Linked DNA regions of Lytechinus pictus. The protein of the gene in region 2 interacts with the protein of the main gene of each other region in a biochemical or structural test. Links are inferred from orthologs where the notes say so. Each region holds a gene or a part of one and is shown on either strand. Other genes may lie near its edges. The genes, in order: DNA mismatch repair protein Mlh3-like, mutS protein homolog 4-like and mutS protein homolog 5-like.

The links.
Region 1: the proteins of mutS protein homolog 4-like (region 2) and DNA mismatch repair protein Mlh3-like form a complex in vitro, tested with the Homo sapiens proteins (2 studies listed by BioGRID). The link is inferred for Lytechinus pictus from reciprocal best matches to the Homo sapiens genes MSH4 and MLH3.
Region 3: the proteins of mutS protein homolog 4-like (region 2) and mutS protein homolog 5-like form a complex in vitro, tested with the Homo sapiens proteins (2 studies listed by BioGRID). The link is inferred for Lytechinus pictus from reciprocal best matches to the Homo sapiens genes MSH4 and MSH5.

The regions. Positions count from the first base shown.
Region 1 is NC_087251.1:23,400,644-23,407,710, reverse strand, and holds the start of DNA mismatch repair protein Mlh3-like, read left to right. Parts: upstream 1-3,957; 5' UTR 3,958-3,998; intron 3,999-6,665; 5' UTR 6,666-6,672; coding exon 6,673-7,067. UniProt on the Homo sapiens protein: Probably involved in the repair of mismatches in DNA.
Region 2 is NC_087247.1:56,176,506-56,183,951, forward strand, and holds the start of mutS protein homolog 4-like, read left to right. Parts: upstream 1-4,421; coding exon 4,422-4,425; intron 4,426-7,446. UniProt on the Homo sapiens protein: Involved in meiotic recombination. Required for reciprocal recombination and proper segregation of homologous chromosomes at meiosis.
Region 3 is NC_087255.1:21,164,492-21,171,469, reverse strand, and holds the start of mutS protein homolog 5-like, read right to left. Parts: upstream 3,054-6,978; 5' UTR 2,939-3,053; intron 1-2,938.

The DNA.
Region 1 (7,067 bases), on a different chromosome or scaffold from region 2:
TATTTTATCTCACTGATTTTAACGGAGATAAAATATTTTATTTTATCTGAGATAAAATGGATCTCAGAATACCACCCCTGAAACTTATATTTGTAAAGTTTTAAATATCAAAGTATGTTTTTATATGTATATATATTCCTCAACATATTTTTTAAGTTATCTTTGATATTGTTGTAGTCATATTCTTTCATATTCGTTTTTTGATCGCTACTAATTTGTTGTTGTATTGGATCGGCATTTGATTTCGTTGGCATGAACAATAAAATACGCGCGCAGCTCAGCTGCATGCGCGTATCGAGTTGACCTTAGAGCATAGAGATGTATACTAACTACGCTAGAGTGCGGAGTCACCATAGGCGCGCGTACTTAACGTCTGTGATTGCGCGGAGCATGATCGGCAATTGCTTGATAGGTATAGATTCGCAAAAGTACCTGGATGTACCCATAGACCGTACGTTGTAACGCTGTGGAAGGGGATGCTGTCTCCGGCTTTTATCTTGAAGAAAAAAAATCAAACCTAATTACAATTGAAAATATGAATGACAAATTGCATCTCAATAAATTATTATTGTGATTACATGGGGATTATGCTATTAATTTGTCTTTTTTTATCTGGATTCTCGGGATGAAATTCTCTATACAGTGTATTTACCTGCCACATGCCTAGATAATAATAAAATAACAATATTGATAATATGACATAAATAAGTAGAAAAAAATCAAACATACATTAAAAGTAAATTTTGACAATCATTTCAAAAGACAGAATTAGCCCATCTTCTCTGGACTTCCCTATCTTTGATACATCATCCTTTGGCACATTCCTTCGTCCACATGACTGTTCTCATGACCAATGATGGATATAATTTTGTAATTTTGATTCATTTCAACTCTATTCGTTTCACTTCACTTCAATTTTTTTTTCATTTTCATTCAAACATAATACAAAGTACAGGGGGCTCGACTGGGCCCCTCCCTGACAGGTATCATTTTGATCACTCAACAGCCGGCAATAATTGTGATATCTTATTCCAAGTATTTGTCAGTTTTACAATAGGCCTATCATTGCTTAATGTTTGATTTTTGTAGGCCTACTCACAATTTTGCAAAACTTTTTTATTTTAAGTAATAATATTCCTTGTAGTATAGTACAAATTAAAATTATATCCCACTCCCGCCCTGTTTCTTCTCCTCTCCTCCTTCTTCCTAGCTCTCCTTATTATTCGATCCTTGATTTGTTCACATAATTTGTCCAATCCCCGGGGGGGCCACTTCCATTCACGAGTGGATACCATGCGCGACCATGGGGTCTCAAAAAGCACCCTAAACACGTAATTTCCATAATCTGAAAATGCACCCCTTAACAAGTATTGGCGTGTGAATCCCTACCCTTAACAAGTATTGGAAACAAAACGAGATCATGGCAAATATTCCCTGAAATGAACCCCTAAACAAGTACAGGAATGTTTTATTGTTACGGGTCCTTCGGTCGTCGGCTTTACCTTATTTGGTTTAGTACGACCCCACCTTCTACACCTCGCGCAAATCGGACTCTAAACACGAAGTGTTGGGGCAAAAAGGACATCCTTTATAAAACATTTTAATTTTGTTTTATCATCCCCGCAAATTCGACCCTAAACACGTAATTGTCCTAGCGAAATAGATACCCTTTTTTCATTATTATTGCGTTTTTGACACCCTTATCACGTTACGTACGTAACGTGCCCTATCGTGAAAAAGACATCCTTTTTACGTGTTTTTTTGGTCGCGCATGGTATCCACTCGTCAATGTAAGTGGCCCCCCCGGGGTCCAATCAAAGGATCATAAACACCAGCGATATGTTAACAGAGTCAGCCGATCAGTATATTACTTCAGCCGGGGGGGGGGGGGATCAAGGCTAGATTTTCCAGAAAATCAAAGTGAAACTCTTTTATGTTGCGACACGCATTGCAATTTGTTTATTAGTGCCAGTCACGCTGAATGTGGGCTATCCACCGTATTTTATTGTATATAATTGTGCTTTTAATACGGAAATAAATACTACTACTACTACTATCATGTTATTTGCAAGGCAATACTGTAAACATAATTTCCCCCATTAGGCCTCCAGACCTGTACATTACAAAATTGTACAACGCGCGTTTTTGATATGCAAATTTTGCTGTCAACAAACTTTCTACATTGATTTGCACATAAATGATCGGATGGTTGCCAATATTGGAAATCTAAATCATATTACTTATAGATTCATCAATTAATTGGACCAATGCGTAAATCATTTTCAAATATCAATAAAAAGTCATTTTTATGACTCACGAGTTATTGTGATGACGGTTACATCGACGTTTAAACCCATGGGGAAAAGGGGCTATGCCCTATTATGATGTCTATGTGTCTGTCTAGTATATGGAAAAAATATAACAATTATTTTTAAAAAAATGAAGAAATAAATTATCAGCATCATGGTTATGCATAGGCCTACACATGTTATTTTTAATATTCATCCCTTCCAAATCATTAGAAAATAAAAGTCATAAAAATAAATGTAGCGACCTATCAAAATGTTTAATATGACCAAAGCAAAAACAATTGGGGATGTATCATTGGCCTGTATATTCGCTATTGATATTCCTATATAGGCATATTTTTGTTCTCGTTTTGTTAGATTTTTTGTTGATTTAAACTTTAATTAATTATATTCAAAACTATTTAACTTTTCCATTTGCTTTCGCGCTCATATGTCATCATTTTGTTCCGTTTCTGTGCTATCACTGTACATGCCCCATAGGTACTGTACGCGCATGGCAGGCTACGAATACCTATCGAGTAATGGCGGCCGGTCTCCGCGTAATCACAGCGATTTGACGAAGTACGCCCTCTAGCGTTATTAGTATATATCTCTATGCCTTAGAGCAACACGCTTGTGTGTTGCTGCCCTCTACGTTCGTTGGTTCGAATGCAAGATGGAATTTCAGGGAAGCACATTCATGAAACTTGGAAAAAAAATTGACAAACATTAAAAAACACAAATAAGGTAATTTCACCAGGATGATGATATTTGAAATTTAGAAAAGACACCCTTGCCATAAAATAGACAGGCTTATATGTATAATAATTGTAATAATAATTATATATATAATTATATATATATATTCTCAGAAATGAATAAATGCAAAATGTGGATTTGTTTGCCAATTTAAAATGATGTTGCTGCCTGATCAGCTAGGGCCTTTTGCTCGAAATAGTGTACCCATTTTATCTAGCCCATCTAAGAGTCTGTTTCAAACACATTGACAGATACATTCTGCAACCCAGAATAATCTGCCTACATTGAGGTGTTCCGAGTTCATTTTAACTATTTTTACTCCTATTCTATAGAAAACTGGTCAAGATTCCAAGTACACTTTTTTGTCTTCCGTTGAGTAGAATTCTCTTTGCATAATATGGAGAATATGGAGAATATAAGACCACTCATTTTTCACAATTTCACAATCAAGTTTTTTTTTCTTCAAAATCACAAAATTGCAGACAAGAACCAGGAAAAGCATAACATCTATTTAGTAGGCTTACGAGCTCAAAACACTCACTTTCCATTTCAGGTACAATATGAAAAGAGACGTTTAATACTAATTAATTAATTTCATTTCATAAAGCTTTCTCAACGATCTGGTGTTTTTTTCATACACAATGTCAAATGCACTCTTTTTTTTTTTTTTTTTTTTTTTTTACAAGTGCACATCTAGTTTCCAATAATGCATATAGCATTTCCATTTATTTGAAAGCAGGATAAAAGAGCATTGTAGGTTATATGCCTTGCTCACGGGCACAGGTGCCGCGGCCGGGGATCGAACCCCGGACTTTCCATGTATAGCCAGGCGCCTTAGACCACTTGGCCACGGCACCTCAACTCTTTTCTGCCCCCCTTTTTTTTACCTTGCGCCCTCTACAGCGCAGAGCAGAAAATTCGCGAATTTCAAAGTTTGGAAAGAAAGCCGAGGTGAGTGAGATGGGTTGCTTCATTTTGTTTCGCTGTTTTAAATGTGATGTTTTGTCCGTTTCGTGTAATTTTATCAATTATGAAGATGAAAATGGAGTTATCGAGTGTTCAATGTAAGATCTAGATCAAGACCACGTTCAGGTGCGTCCAGTGCAGTGTGCGTCTTTTCTTAATCTTATTTAGTTAGGCCCCCGTCCCCCACGTACTGAAAATAGTGTTGGTAAAATTTAAATTGTTAAGGACTAACGTTAGATCTAACATTACAGGGCGTCCCACTAGTAAAAGGAAACCCGTCTTCAGATATAAATTTCACAATTATCAAATATGTTTTTACTAGTATAAATTTGACACTTATCATTATGATATGGTAACCATAAAGAGTGGAATCTCTTAAATTTGAGACAAAAAGCTCAGCAAATATTTCACGTGTGGGCGTGGCCACTCCTAGTACCAATGAGGTCCAACATTACATGTATGGACCTCATAGGCGACATCAGTAGTATTTTTGGTTAGAAATCTCTGAGAACATGATATTTAAACATTATATCACAAGTACAAGCTATAATTCCTTTCTCTTATTTAAATTATAATTTTATAGTGTAAATGCATCGTTAGCAACAACAAAAAATGAAAGAAATGAAGGGGAACTTACATTTTCACGGCTTTTTCCTGATTTTCTGGGCAGCTGCTCTTCTCTTCTGACTCGCGATCGAAGCTGATATGAAGATCACGTGATTCGCGTTCTCGTCAGCTGATCGGTTGGTTATTCTTTTCGTCAGACGTTAATAATATATATTTTATAATGCTAGCATTCATCGCTAATTTAGGTGAAAGAGATTGAAGTTAAACAGCGCCAGGTCGGAATCATAATTATTTTGGAAGAGTGTATTTATACACTCGATCTCATACCTGACGTAGACGGCGCTATTCAACAAATGCACAATCTTCAATATAAAAAATAAAACAGAAAGAACGCCTTGAACACAGGCCAAAATGCCTAACGATTTCTCCGCGGCATTAACAACTATCGTAAAGGGCGCTCCATTTATCAATAAAGATGGACGCTAAGCTGTCTATGGCGACAAAATTTGCCGCAAATATTTACGAAGAATTGTGAGAAATGGTCTGAAAATGCAACAAAAGAACCGGTGAGTACCGATTAAACATTATTAAATTTGTAAATAGATTATACATACCTTGTAGATTTAGTTTTTAAGGTGATATTAGTGCTTAGTTCTAAGCTAGGGAGGCCCAAACGCGCGTAAGTGGAGTCCCAGTTTATTAGCACGGGTAAGTATTGGGGTGTCGCCTAGAGTGGGCGTGGCACTTAGCCTTGAGGACTTTGTGATGATATTTTTAAATATTTTGACATATACTTATTCATCAAGAAGCCTTGAAACCCTTGCCATAGGTACGTAAGCGAGACTTGTCAACAAATATGGATTTCCCTAGGAAATCCATCTCATCTTTGAAGATAGAAATCACGTAAATTTGTCTGATTTTATTTATCTATACACCTTCATGTGCCTATAATTATAAATGCGTATGAAGGTGCAAAAAAACACTTAGTAAAAATGTGAAAAATGAGAGGTTTCTTACCAGAACATTCTCGTGTAGATCCCTCGATCCATTTGTAAACACCGCACATACAATAGGCTTGACACTTGAACTGCTTCGTTATGACGTAGCTTCGATAAGCGATGTTACAAAATGCCGTTTTGAAGAACAATTTATAGATAAAAATTATTCTTTAACAAATAATAAATTTAAAACCTATAAATAATCATTATTGCAATAATAATTCTTTATAATATAATCAAGTTTCAAATTTTATTATTTGTTAAAATAAAAGGGAAAATTTGTGCAACTATTGTATTTCAATACTGTACAAAAAATTCTTGGCTGCTAGCATTCGCATGTGCGCATCTGGACAATAGCGGAGATCTTGTCTTGCCCCCTTTTTGATCCCATGATCCTTTGTGATAAAGGATAAAGAATATTTGGATAGATTTTATATCTGAAAGTTTTTGTAAATATTCTAAAGATCATCAATCAAGAAGAAAATGGTGAAAAACTCACTAAAACATGTAAAATGAAAATTCTGCTGTCTTTTATTTTGAATTCACCTCTTGAATTGGCCCATGGGTTTGGAAGGGGTCCTACATGTATTTCTACATACACAATTTTCCATTCAGAGAAATGTTGTTAAACTGCATTTCCTGTGTACAAATTTTTAATATCTATTATTTTCTTGCAAGAAAATGTGATATATGATAATTAAGAGAATAGAATTCCAAAGCTGCAATAATTTGATGGTTCTATATATGATTTTTGCAAATTATTGCATAGCCTTTGTGGAGTTTTGAATAGGAATAATTTGTCACACTGCAGTCACAGTCCCATACACAGAATCCACATTTTGCCATTGAAATTGAATGTTCAATAAGTGGTGTGTAGCTTTAGGACCCCTTACCTTACAAATGTTTTATTAAGCCTTTGGCTGTGAAATATGTTTTTAATAAACCATTTTTGAATTGGATGGAATTAAACATTTTGTAGATGTCTCTGATGTCGGTTTGTTGCCAAATGTCTTATTTGGTCTATTTTTTCTTTTGGTTTTATTGTTTTTTTTTTTGTTTTTTTTTTTTCATTTTTAATTTGTTACAGAATTTTCATGATGTCTCTTGATCAAATTGCTTCAATCCAGTTCCTGTCTCAAGATGTACAAAATCAACTAAGATCTGGCGTTGCCACACCATCAGTTGTCCAATGTGTAGAGGAATTGGTTGTGAATAGTATTGACGCTGAAGCTTCTTGCATCGCTGTTCGTGTGCATCTACCTGACTGTCAAATTCAGGTCGTAGACAATGGAAGGGGGATGACTAAAGATGATATGCTCTGTGTGGGTGAGAGATATGCTACAAGCAAATGCCATAACACAAAAGACCTTGAAGATATATCCCATTATGGATACAGAGGAGAAGCTCTTGCAAGTATAAAGGAAATTTCTTCAGTGTTGGAGATCACTTCACGAGCCAGAGGGTCTGAACTTACCTACAGTAAACTCTT
Region 2 (7,446 bases):
TGATGTAAGACATAAAAAGAATGGGGCCTAAAATGCTTCCTTGAGGGACTCCGCATTTAATAGGCAGTGAATCAGAAAGAACCATCTGCATGGTAACTACTTGATGACGGTTAGATAAACATGATCTAAACCATGTCACACATGCAGAGTCTAAACCCATCACTTCTAATTTCTTTAAAAGTATGTTATGATTTACAGTATCAAAGGCTTTTTGTAAGTCTAGGAGAACCATTCCAACCATGCGCCCATGTGAAATTTTGTTCCTGATAAAATCTGTTAAATGTATTAAACAAGTTTCAGTGGAATATCCGTTACGAAAGCCGGACTGAAATTTATATATTAGCTTGGTTTCTTGAAAGTATTTCTCCACTTGAGCATGAACAGATTTTTCCAAGATTTTCGACACTACACTTAATACACTTATAGGCCTATAATTACTAACGTCAGTTTTTATGTAGCAGGGTAACTTTTGCAAATTTCATATCATCAGGAAAGGTAGAAGACATAAGAGATAAATTAATAACATAATTCAAAGGTTTGTACAAATTTCTTGCCCCATCTTTTGAAAATCTTGCAGGTATCATATCTAGACCAGTACTTTTTGATATTTTCAACCTATTTAGTTAATCTAAAACAAATTTTTCTGTAACAGGGGAAAAATGAAAACTACCTTTTGAAATACCCTTTTCTTCATAAAACTTTTGAAATTGGTCACTTTCTGCATGAAATTTGTTTGTATTTATTACATTCTCCACAAAAGTGCACCAATAGGATTGGACAAACTTTCAAATTTCGACATACGAAAATTAATTAAACTCATTTGAATTCAGAAACTTTAATACTTTGAGAACACATAACAACAAACGGGCGATTTTTTACCCCAACATATTTTTCAAGAAATAGCATTGAACTTGAACACCTTTTTACATAGTTTTTACCACCCGTCAGATACGTTACCATTAGGCCTTAGACAAGAAAATCGCTGTGGATGTATCATTTGTGGACCAATAGTATCAGTAAATATTTCAAAGTAAACGTAACTAATATACACACATGATTAAAAAGTAGTTCTTGAAATTTGATTGGTCGAGATGTATCAAAATGATAGATGTTAGAAGTCTGTAAGTCAAAATCAGCGCGAAAAAAATAGTATATTTTCAGATAAAATACATAACCTAAATTGCAATTCATATCTCTACTATAATTTGATCTTATATTGCTTTGAAACATTAATAAAAATCATACATAAATACTGAAATTATTAAAGAAATTTCATTGTAAGCACACTTTACTACAGATTTCATACATTCTGAATTACAAGAAAAGAGAAAATTGGTAACGTATCTGACATACTTCCACAAAATTTCGTTTACTGTGGTTTATATCTCAAGATAACGATAAACTCAATCGTGCAATATATTTTACATCCAAACGAATTATCAACTACGAACATTCAGATTTATCATCCCGATTAAAAAACACTGCTCAGTAATGCAAAGTCATGTATTCATCTATAGCATGTATACGTGCATACATATAAACAAAATTTACGCAATAACATAATTATGTTCTGTTTGAAATGTATGAGCTAAACTTTTGATTTGAAGTGCACAATGTAGTCCATTTCCTTCTATAAACTCATTGATAAGATATCTAACACTATTAAGATGGAACAATATCATCAAATTTATTACCTGCGAGTGCAAGGCAAATATATAACTGTAATATGTCAATATGGTAACGTATCTTACAGACATCTATACTACAAAATGTTGTTACTGTGACTTATAATAGTAACATGCGTAAACTCACTCTTGCATTTGTCTTACATCAAAATGTTATATCCACCTCGAACATAATGATTATTTATGATGATCACCTTGACATAGTTCAGTAAGTAAAATTATGCATCGATAAACAAACACAGACAAAATTAACCTATATGTAAGACATAATTATAATACTGTTTCAAATATATGACCAAAGCTTTTGATTTCTAATGTGTACAGTCTATTATGTAGCTTTGTTAACTTTTAATGAAATATGTAACATCATGCAGTTTGGAAAAACATGATAAATTTGATTACATCCGAGTATTTAGACAAATATATAACTGCAACGTAGGGTAACGTATTTGACTGTTGATAATATAAACTTATAAGTAGGCCTACAATGTTATTTCACTTGGGCTATACTTGGTGTTTCGGCTCTGCTCCCAAAAAAAAGAACCTTCTTAAATTGTATAAAAGATCTCATTCTTAACAATTATTAACACTGAATAGTTATAAAAAGATTTGTATAAATTAATGTATTTCCACATGTTCTGTCATAATTTTTTTTTTTTAATTTAAAGAGAGCCAAGGAGCTATACGGTAGATAATGGTGGTAACGTAGCAGACACAACTCTCAAGTTATTAAAATGTCTTTGTAGCACATCTGATTCATCATCCACTCAAATATTTCGGTACATTAAAGCTTACACTATATTGACGGATTCTACTTTTTCATATTTTTGTACATTTAGAGAGCCAAGACAAAAAAAACTAGACTACGGAATCAAAATATTCTCCTTCCAAATATCAGTTGACAATTAACATTATGTTGCCGCTTGTACGTAATGTGACAAGTATTAAAGCAAAAAGCCGGGTAAAAAAAATGATTAGCATGATTTAAGAAGGAAAATACAAACCGGATAACAACCGACAGCAAGTAAAGAAAATATTATATTTCAAAATTTCACATTTTCAGAAAACATATTCTAATGAGCAAGTTGTTAATGTCATCCCCTCATAATTTGTCACGTTTAAATGACATTTTGGATTTTTTTTGCCAGCATTGAGGCAACCATACCCCTTTAAGATATGTCAGAACAAATATTTCAGAACAAATAGCATCTCTCATTCATTTTGTTTTTATTTGGGGTTAGTTGAATAGGAAAACTTTACTGTATCATATTTGATAAATGGATTTTTTAAAGGATTTCTGTAAATTAAATGTGGAGAAAATTGTAAGGGAATTACATCATTAACTTGCTCATAAAAAAAAATTAATAACGTCATTATTTTCCTTTTTTATCAAAATATGCCATTTTCATCATTCTTGCATCACAGGGAAAGGATTCCTTTTCTTTGTAGATTGTTCGAAAAATAGGAGGATATGGAAAGTGCATAAATACACGTAATGCTGTCCAAATATTTGTCTCCTGCAAATTCTAATATTGATCCTTTTACTTAATTTGTGCTTCTTTATATTTTTTGGCCAAATCTTCGATTAGTGTCAACTGTTCGATGGTTAACTCAGATTTTCTCTCCGACTTTCCGGATCTCAGCACGCGTTTGACCCATGTCTTTTTTTTCTCTGAAATAAACGAGAGACAGAGGAAAAATATCAGCATGGGAGTTTTATATGTACATTATTTTATAATTAATACCAAATAAATATAAAATAGTTAGTCGTCGTGTACATAAAAACATGACATTAATATCTAATAAGATACGTTACCAGTCGGGTAAGATACGTTACCGTGCCTATCTGGTAACATTATAATGTTCATGCGAGCTATCACACACACTAAACAATCGCATGCATACGTGTTAGATGTCTTAAGCCTATAACTGTTCCATCAACTTCAAATAACTCTCAAATGTATCATAATGTCAAACTGATAAATGAACTATATTCTGTTAATATTCAAAAAATGAAAATTCTTACCAACCACGTAGCTGGGATGAATAACAAACGGCGAGAAGCCTTACATCTCCCTCAGACTCTCAGCACGTAACGCTCAATGCTTTGAAGGGTGGAGAAGCACTAAAAGCGTGTGCAAAATTAGAGAATGCGCGAATGGGCCTATCAACGCGCAATGCGGTAACGTATATGACGGCCTTTAGGATCAACCTTGTGTTTTCACAAAATAACAGCCTATTCTTTCGTAACTCCCATGTATTACCATAAGCAATGTAGAGTGCTCTAAAACAAAATACATTATAACTTTGTTAACCAAGTTATTTTTCTGTAATAGAGCAAAGTTTCAGTAACGTATCTTATTTTACCTTATAATGGTAACATACACAATTGAAAACTTTGTGTCTGAAGATATTCATTATTATAGAGATTCAGTATACACTATTTGTATTTATATAGTCTTTAAATGGACTTCAATCACTACACCGAAATACAGATCACTGCATTATTGTCTTCGTTCTTTTTAGGGCGTCATACAAAAAGTAACGTATCTTATCCCGATTTGGAGACACCTTCGCTAAGACCGCAGGAAAAAATATACAAAAGTTTTTTCGCCAAGCAATATGCTTTTTTATTTAGGCACCGAAGGCACTATAAATTAGTGGACAAAACATGAAGTTCGGATATTACGGTAAAGAGCGGGAGTATGAAATATAATCACACAGGTCGCTGGAGACATGGGTATAATGAGCATATATATATTTTGTGGTGTCGTATATAATTTTTTCATGAGGTGGGGTGACCTCAGTTGATTTTAATTTTACTCAACATATTCTGTAGTATAAATAAAAGTCAAAAAATTGGTTTCCTGATGAATTAAATTATGGTTTATAGCCTAGACAAGGTTGGAGACACGAAAATATCCTTTGGTGCCCCTTTTCGGAGAATGGCCCATTTACTGGTAATTTACAAACTAGCTTGTCGGCCACAGTCGTAAAATAACGATTAAACTCATTTGCAATTTTAGCCTTATCATGACTTAATTCACCTTGCACATTAATAACCGTTTTTTCATCAGATTTCCCTTTACTTTTTAGACCTAAACCTTTCAAATTCTTCCACAATTTTCTAGAGTCATGTTTGTTTTCTTCGATTCGTTGTTGAAAATATTCGTTTTTGGCACTTCTTACCTTCCTTTGAACTAAATTCCTTAAAACTTTATATTTTCTTTCAATGTCTAAATTGCCAATGTTCCTTTTTTAATATTTTTGTAAGCTACATTTCTCTCTTTAATTAAAACAATAATTTCATGGTTCATCCATTTTTCAGTTGATTGCTTAATTCTTACCTCTTTCAGAGGTGCGCTCATATCTATAATTGATAAGAATATAGATTTAGAATTTGCCCAAGCCATATTTACATCGTTACATTCAGTTACCTTGGACCAGTCTGATCGGGATAACTTTAAAGTGAAATTATCTACATTAAAACCTTTTAATCTCCTGATGGATACAGTTCTGTGGTGCCCAAATATGGGCCTAACAATCTTTCTTGAACAATAAATTAATAAATGATCACTTATACCTAGGTCAATAACACCACTTTGACTAATATGCTCTACTTTACTACATAATATGTGATCTATCAGGGAGGAAGATGTCTGAGTTGTACGTGTGGGCAGCTTTACAAGTTGGCTTAAACCACTTAGATTAAGTATATTCTCATATTTCTGGGATAAAGGAGACTTTCGAAAGGCAAATATTCATGTCCCCTAAGACTATAATCTCATCATCTTTTCTAAATTTTTTAAGTGTCAGAGAGTGATTCAATGAAATTATTATCTTTAGGGGGTCTGTAAAGAGCACCCAGTGTAATGGGCTTTAATTTGTCAGAGGCAATAGAATATCGATCCACAATGATTCAATATTTCTTGAAGTCAAGTCTTCTCTTATATTAAATGCAATGTCGTTTCTTATGTAGAGACAAACACCACCACCTAGCCCACATTCACAATCGTTACGTAATATACAGTATCCATCTATACATACTTCTTCATCATTTACAGATGAGTTTAACCATGTTTCAGTGATGGCAATAATAGCTATTTTACGTTTAGAAAAAAGAAGCTGAAGTTCAGATATTTTATTCAATATTGATCTCATGTTTAAATGAATGAAATGCAACCCTTTTGTCTCAAACTTTTCTTCAAAGGACTTATACACTGTTGTTTTATCGGAAGGTGGGGTATTATTTACATGTTCAGTGGGAGGCAAAAGTGGTTCGTTATGACCAACATTTGTTTGAATGGGGTGCAAGAATAAGGAATCACAAAAAGGCGGTAAAGAGCATGTTAAACAAGTCCAACATTCATTAGGGTTGTAATATAATCTTGTGTACTCCTGTTCACTTATGCCTTCACATCTGGAATGGTGCCACTTATTACAAGTAGAACACCGGAGGCCAGTTTGGTTTTTCTTCACAGGCTTTTGACATTTTCTACATGGAAATTTATAATTTGGACCAGGATTTGTTTCCACATCCCCAGATAATAACAAAAGATAAGAAAAATGGTTACTAGGTGGACATAATTCGGCTTGAAAGGTTGCTACAGAGTTATGATAGTACAAAATAGGCGAACGGAAATATTTTAAACGCTTTATCGCTGGAAGACTAACATACTGAGAAATTGTGTTGACATTATGAGAACATATTATAGAAATTAAAAGATAAAGTACTAATACATTCATCTCAGTGTAGTCCCACACCAACAAACAGTGTTTAACAAAAGAAACAAAATACAAAGACAATTAAACGTGGATAAAAAGAAACTCGAATAAAGACGTAAACTTAACTACGATGCTACAAACTACAATACTGCATAAAAGTTCATAATATTCAGTCATAGAGTCCCTCAGTGTCGTCTACTTCAGCCTCGATCCTATGGGGCTCACATGAGTATTACAGACCCCCATTCACTCACGTGTTAAATCATAGCTCATCAAAAAATCATCAAAAATCAATCCTTCGATAGATTTTGCTTTAATTCACTGACATTAGTCACAATTAACAGTACATTAAGACTTGATATGTCAATCGGGTACTTGTCCAGCTCAATCAAAAGTTAAATGGCCTGAAATAAGACTAACCATAATTTCGGCCAACTGGGCGTTGTGGCGTGCGCCTGTAATCCAAGCTGTGGGGAAGTTACAAATTGATGCAGAGGTTCGAGCCCTGGTCACGTCTTTCGGATGGTGACGTTAAAGGTCGGTCCCAGACGTAAATAATCATATCTGATTGATACACGTCTGACAAAACTCAAATACACACACACACACACACAGTTCATTGCCAGAAAAACCCGAACTGCATTGTGGGTAATGATAATACAAAAATGCAGTCTAGCCTCCCCAAAGGCTTTAATTATGAAAGAGTATGAACATGACATTGTTTTTATCATTTATATTTTGATATTCCAACATTTTGTCTATTTTTAATGAATTATTTTAATCAATAAAGTCATGTGATCTTTACTTACGCCTGTCCGGCATGCTTTGCGTGCGGTTGAATTACTCTCATGTGCCCTATGGCACCCCTGGCAGCCAGACTTCTCCCCTCCAGCTTTCATCTGTCCTGCTCCTCTTAGATTCTCCTCCACGAGACTGGATATGGATCAGCTCCATGACAACAATGAGACAGCAGCAGATATAAAGAAAATTCCAATATTAAAAAATGTCATGGATATAATGGGACAATACGAAGACT
Region 3 (6,978 bases), on a different chromosome or scaffold from region 2:
ATCCCCTCCTCCTTCACCTTCTTCTTCTCCTCCGTCTCCTCTCCCTCTTTCTAATTCTCATCTTCCTCCTAATTCTACTACAAAATCTACTACTTCTACCACATTAATTTGCTGTTGTTATTGTTGATGTTGCCATCACATCTATTTATGTCCATATGATTATAATGAAAATTTCATGGACGTCCCTGACTCACTAGTTCCTATAGAACTGGAAGGAAACTTTGTTGGTGGTCAAGAATGATGCGGAAGTTCTGCGAGTCAGAAATAACTTTCTACTCTGGGATTTCGACCAAAAAAAAGAAGACAGATTTTGAAAGATGACAGGATGATGAACTGTCATAAACTGCATGTCACAATGCTCTAGAGATAATTAGAAACAATCCTTGCTCTAAAAACAGTTGAACTTGGTGGAATAAGTAAATAGCACGCAACCATCTGATCATCACCAGATTTTATTCTTCATTTTTATATATTTCTATAGCTCTAAACTGCAATGCATCCTTTTCAATACATCCTCTTTATCAATTTGTCACCCTGTTTCATTCTCTCACAAAGCTCAATGCATATATCACTTAATTATTTGTGATCAAACGCAACTCAAATATAATCCAATGGTTCCAACCTGATAATAAAATCAAATGTGGATATTTAGATCATTTGCTTGATTATTCAAGATTTTAGTGCATTTCTGATTTGATTATAAAACTTTATGAAAAATCTGAAATTTGTAAAATAATGCCATGAGAACTACTCTTTCTGAAAACTTAGAAAAACTTTAAAATGGCAAGTAATAATTACACTTTGTTTGCTATAATTTAATTTATTCAAGTAAAACAAATTGACTGTAAAATGCTTTCAAGACTTAAGTTCATTTATGACCAGGGGGCCATTTCATAAAGCTGTTCGTAAGTTAAGAGCGACTTTAAGAAGAACTGGTGAACCATTCTTACATGCTAAACCATCGCCAATGGAGTATACCATTTACCACAAGAAAGGATCACCAGTCGTTCTTAAAGTCGCTCTTATCCTACGAACAGCTTTATGAAACACCCACTAGATAGTACAAGTACAAAAATAAAATACTAAATATTTAGGATTCAAATTCCAAATGTTTGTAACACAAGTGACTCCAAGTATGAATATGGATTAGCATTACAAAGTGAATCTATTTCACTCGACTATGTTGAGGTTGAGTAGTTCAAGGCTTTTTGAAAATTGGAAGTTGCAAAAAAATAAAAACATTGAATAGTTATCAATTTCAGGAGTTGGTTTTGACTCAATTTCCTAAATATTGGGGTTCAAAATGAAGGAAACAATGGTTGTGAAATTAATTCTCCATTAATTCATTACTCCCATATTTGCTCTTCAACTCTATTTCAACTTATCTTTAAAAGTGCATGTGACCCCCCCCCCCTTGTTTCCCATTCCACCATTTCTCTGTATTTACTATCTTTCTTAGTCATGGCTTATTTCCATAATTTTTATCTATATATATGTGTTAATGTATACAGTTCCATAGATCACTGAAAGTTTACCCAAAACAGGTAAATTTTCATGATTGATTTAATTAAAAAGCATGTTTTTTCATGTTACATCATATCACATTATCATGATTACAGTAGCTGTACCAGTTGTGCTGCTATGTTTGTTGAGATTCGGAGAGGTTTCATGAAGCACCTTACTAGTGATTTCCAGACAAATTTGCTTTCAGCCAATCAGATAAAGGCTTTTTGGTAGCTTATAACAGTTGTTAGTAAATATCACAGGCAAAAGCTTCATGAAATACCCCCATCATGGCTATGGCAGATGTTACAGCATAACCTTAAATAGTCAATGAATATTTGATAAATTCTATCACTGGGTTTGGAAACCCTGTTTCACATTTTTTTAATGAAGGCAGGTTAAAAAAGATTGAATTTCAGAAATATGACAATGGGGCAAACTCATTGTCTGAAAGAATGAAGTCTAAAAAAATTCCTGTAGAGAGCTCTTTCTAGCAAAGAGAAGGTTGCTACTTCACTTAGGTCAGAACTCTTAAATCAAGCTTTTTCTATGCTGTTCTTAGAATTGAAAATTTCAAGTTACAAGATTTTTACAGCCCAGTGACCAGGGCCTGTATTCTGATGTCCAGTTTTAATTAGTCCATGGTCTAACTTCTGTGCTGAGACTTTGGAAAGCTGAAAATAACGTTTACAATTAGTTTGCATTGTATGTTTCCTATGCTCACGATGTTCTTTCTTCATGCTTTGAGGGTGAGGAAAGCTATCAAAATAATCATTCACAGACAGTTATGAATGATTTGAGTGTCAAAAGTGCTGAAAGATTGCATAAAAGTTACTATTATGGTAATGTTGCCAGCCCACTAGCGTACCTACGGGGGGGCACTCTGCCCCCCCTGACGAGATTTTGAAGACCTTTTTTTTTTTTTTTTTTTTTTTTTTTTTTTGCTTGTCAAATTTTTTCTGGTACGAAAAATTATTTTGTATTGATGACCCCTTTTTTTTTTTTTTTTTTTTATTAATTTTTTTTTTTGCTTGTCAAATTTTTTCTGGTACGAAAATCTTTATTTTGTATTGATGACCCCTTTTTTTTTTTTTTTTTTTTTTTTTTTTTTTTTTGCTTGTCAAATTTTTGGGCGGCCAATTTTGCCCCCCCTGTGAAAAATCCTAGGTACGCCACTGTGCCAGCCAATGGTAACTACCATATGGTAACGCCGATCAACAGCCAATCACAATCAAGGATTCCATGCAAGTTACAATTGGATGGAAAGTTACCATAATGGTAACTTTTATGCAACGGAGCCCTGGACTCTCGAAGATTTGTGTCAAAATTGGCTTTCCATAGTTAAACCACAAGTTTAGATCAAAGGTAAAATTAAACCCAAGTTCAGAATACGAGCCAGTATGTTATCATCATTAATCTCTCTTTTGAAACTTACAGTGAGAATGATTTGATGTTGAGAACTGGACTATTCACACCAGATTGTTCCAACTCCACGCCGATCCTCTTCTTCTCCAGGAATTTAAGAAGTCCTCCTGTAGCACGGATCTACAAAGATAATAAAATGAGGGATGATAAGAAAAGAGATTACTTTAATTAACCTCCAAATCAATGTTTGAAGTCCACATTAAAATTTGTTATCACTACTATTTTTTGACATCGTACTAAGTCAAATTATGAATGTGAAAAAAAACTTATATTCCTTTAAATCAAGGAGTACCTTTGAATAAAGTGAATGAACCACATTGATTTCATTCATCTTTGATACAATCCTTGAAATCAATAGGCAATGACACAGGTGAGGTAAATGATTACTGGCAGGAAGGAATTCCTCAAAAGGCAGTGAGTACCAAAATCAGTAGCCTTGCTTTGCCTTGACTCCAGCTTCGGCTCCTAACAAGGTGGAAATGTGCGCAATATAAATAATCTATTCAATAATGATTATTTCCAATCTAAGTAATATTAGTACGTGAAAAACAAGCTGGTAGTGTTCATATGGTATCATTACATTTACTTTTCATAACTGATTAATATGACTTACATTAATTAACTTGTTTTAACACCACATTCCCTATTACATCCCGACACCCTACACAAAATGGTAGGATCTTGTTTGGAAGGAAAGGGAATAACCAGCATAAAATCATTAATTCTCCTGTCCTTGCTTCGAACAGGTTGACAAGCCGCCAGTAATTCTTGGCAAGTCACGCAAAATTAGATGTATCCTTGTTCGGCACGATGGAAACCACAGGGCGCTAATCGCTCGACGGGATCTATCGAGAGACCTCATCCTTTTACGAACTAAAACGAACGTCAGTCGACGGGATATCATCTATACGCAGGGATGAATCAATAGGATTGCACTGTCAATCAGACTATAAATTGCTTACCAACTTTACAGATTTTTGCTTGTTTTTTCTGCATTTTGTAATTAAATCAATTATTCTTCACTTTCACCTTGGAAATTTGCAGACAATGATGTCAGATTTTTTCTACCGCTTAATTTTTGGTATGTCTTAGTCATATCAGATACAAGAAATCTTCTAGAGTATACAAAATATAAAGATAAATTATCAATTAATTAGTAATTTTTATGAACAAGAGCAAAAGAAACATTTAAGGTCAGATACTTCAAGTGCATTGCCTGATAAATTTGTGCCTAATTGATGGTTGCACAAATTTGAGGGCATATGGCTCTCCTTTAAAAAATACAGCCTACTCCACCTATTTTTTTTTCTGGGGGGCGAGATACTATTTAATCACTGTTTTAAGGTATGTGGTTTGATTATAAGCTTCCAAATGGAACACTTAAAAAGTTATTTTAAAAAGTACAATAATGTGTATTCAAATCTTGATTTCATTGCACATAGCTGCCTTTTCTTCTTTATAATTACATGTACTTTTTGCACTCAACATTTACACTCAGTCCTTTTGTGTTTACATACCATCAGCTCTTCTTTCTTCACCAACCCCACCATTCTCTCTCTCTCTCTCTCTCTCTCCTTTTGCCTCTCTTTATATCTGTTCATCACTCTCTCTCTGTCTTTCTCTCTCTCTCTCATTTTCTCTATATATATATCTATTCACCCTCTCTCTCTCCATCTATCCCCATCTCTCTCTCTCCTCCCATCCATTACTTCATTGCCTCTCTCTCCTGCTTCTTCCAATTTCATCTATCTCCATTCAATCTTAGCAGCGACAAAGGAAGAGGAAAATCAGATCTTCCTCTTTTAATCTCTTCTGTCTTAGTGAGACCAGCTGCTCACAGTTCCCAAGACCGAGTGCTTTGCCAAAAAAAGTTTTACAAACCTACTCCTTTTCCGCGGCCAATGCCGACATTTGCGTGTTATCTCCAATTAGATTGTGACATCTTACGGCAGAGAACTTGATCGAATAGTCAATATTAATTGAATGAATATGCTTCTTCCCTGGTCCCCTTAGGAATATTTCTATCTCCCATGCATCATTTGGATTGTTTTTGAGTTTTTCTTTTTCTTTTTTGCATGTTGTTACTTCCCTACTGCCTTGTCTTCTGTATCATGTCTCTCACATCAGGACACCACAAATGCAAAGTGAAACCTGATTGGTCCAAAATAACCCTTTGTCACAACCTGGGCATGCACCAATAGTTTTGATTGGCTGCTTGGCTGATACCTCTTTGCTATATCATTTGCATAAATTCATGGTGTAGACCACGATTCTTTGGCATCTCTTATGAGTTTATTATATCTGTAGATAATTGCTTGAATTACATTTTAATAGGGGGTTGCATGTGGGTGCTTTGAATAACAATTTCTGAAAGTATAAGACAGAAAAGCTTTAATAGATATCATCTTTATTTCTTCATTCTTATATAACTTATCTCAAGCACAATAGGATACTAGATTAAAAAGTTAACCCCTAAATTTAAAATCACTTTCCTAGTGTTGACTGCATATAAAACATAGAGATCTTATTCAATTTTATCCTTTTCTCTCTCCATGATGACATTTTCGCTCTACAAATCACTTTGTATCAATTTCACTGGCAGGAATGTCAGACTGACGTTTGCGTGTAAAGATTTCATTAAATTACACCATTCTACAGAGAAATGCTTCCTGTGATTTGGATTGACACAATACTACAGGATGGGAAGTTCTTAAAGAGTGATCTCAAGGTTTTGGTGGTCACTGTACAAGCTTAGCCTTTCTTTCCGGGTAAATACCACTTTTTAAAAGGGCTTAATTTATACATAAAGACAGTAGTGAATGTCGAAAGTTTATTTATTTATAAGTCTCTTTTAGTAGGGTGACTCCATCAGTAATTGGCATACTGTTTTCCTTGGAGGCCCTTACAAGTTCATGGATGATATTGGGGTGGAACCAGAAGGAAGGGGAGAGGCCTTGAAGTCAAAAAGCTTAATGCAATGTCTAGTTCTAAAAACTATGACTGGTTTCAAAGTCAAATACGGACAGTCCAAAAAAACACAAAAAACATAATGGGATGGTGTATGGGCTTGGTGGCTCAGTGGCAGATCACCTGCCTCATTAAAGGAGGGTCATAGGTTCTATCTCTGGCCGTGTCATCCCACAGACTTTTAAAAATAGATTCTTCTGCCTTCTAGCTTGGCACTCAGCATTTAGCTTGGAGGTGGCAACCCTAGTTAAATTAATCATCCATGAATGCATCACTGATTAAACAATTTATTGCTAATATCATTAACTGTCAAAACCCTATTTTTCAGTCCAATTTTCAAACTGAGATTTCTCCATATTCTGATCTGGCTTTAATAGGTATAGAGTGAGATACCATCAGTTCACTGAAAATAAACAAAGGTTACTGAATATTAATGAAGGTAACTTTTCATGAAATAAAACTGCACATGTCAATCAAGTAAAAATGGGCTATAAAAATTACCCCCTGTGCTCAAATATGGTACAACAGAAGTGGCCAAAATTAAGAGAAATGTGATCAATTTCCAAGAGTTTCCACCCTTCAATTAGGAGGTAATTTGTCTGTGGGTCATTTCTGTCAGCTGTTGCGGCCCATATCAGAGACAGACAAAATGAGGGGATACAGAATGAAAGGTATTTCCAATTTGGCTCAAACCTATACTGATCAATTTATGCATTTGGGCAATTCCACAGGTTGATGGACATGAGCTTAAAAATTCAAATTCAATATTTTCTTGAATTTTTTAATACTTTAAGTCCTTCATGCTTGATAGTTTCAGGAACAAGAAATAAAAAGTTTATTTTCATATGTATACTTTGGAAAAAAATGGTCAAAAGATGTGTCTTCCATTCTGTACCAAAATACAAGAAAAATAGTGAAAAATGAAATATGCCTCATTACCATTTTGTTATTGCAACAACATACCACTTTATATATTTCTGAAGTTTAGAAGAGTCAAATTACCTAAAATACACAACAGCTTTTCAAGTAAATTTGTAGTACTCATTCAAAAATGAATATTGCAACTTGCTCAGGTGATGTAAC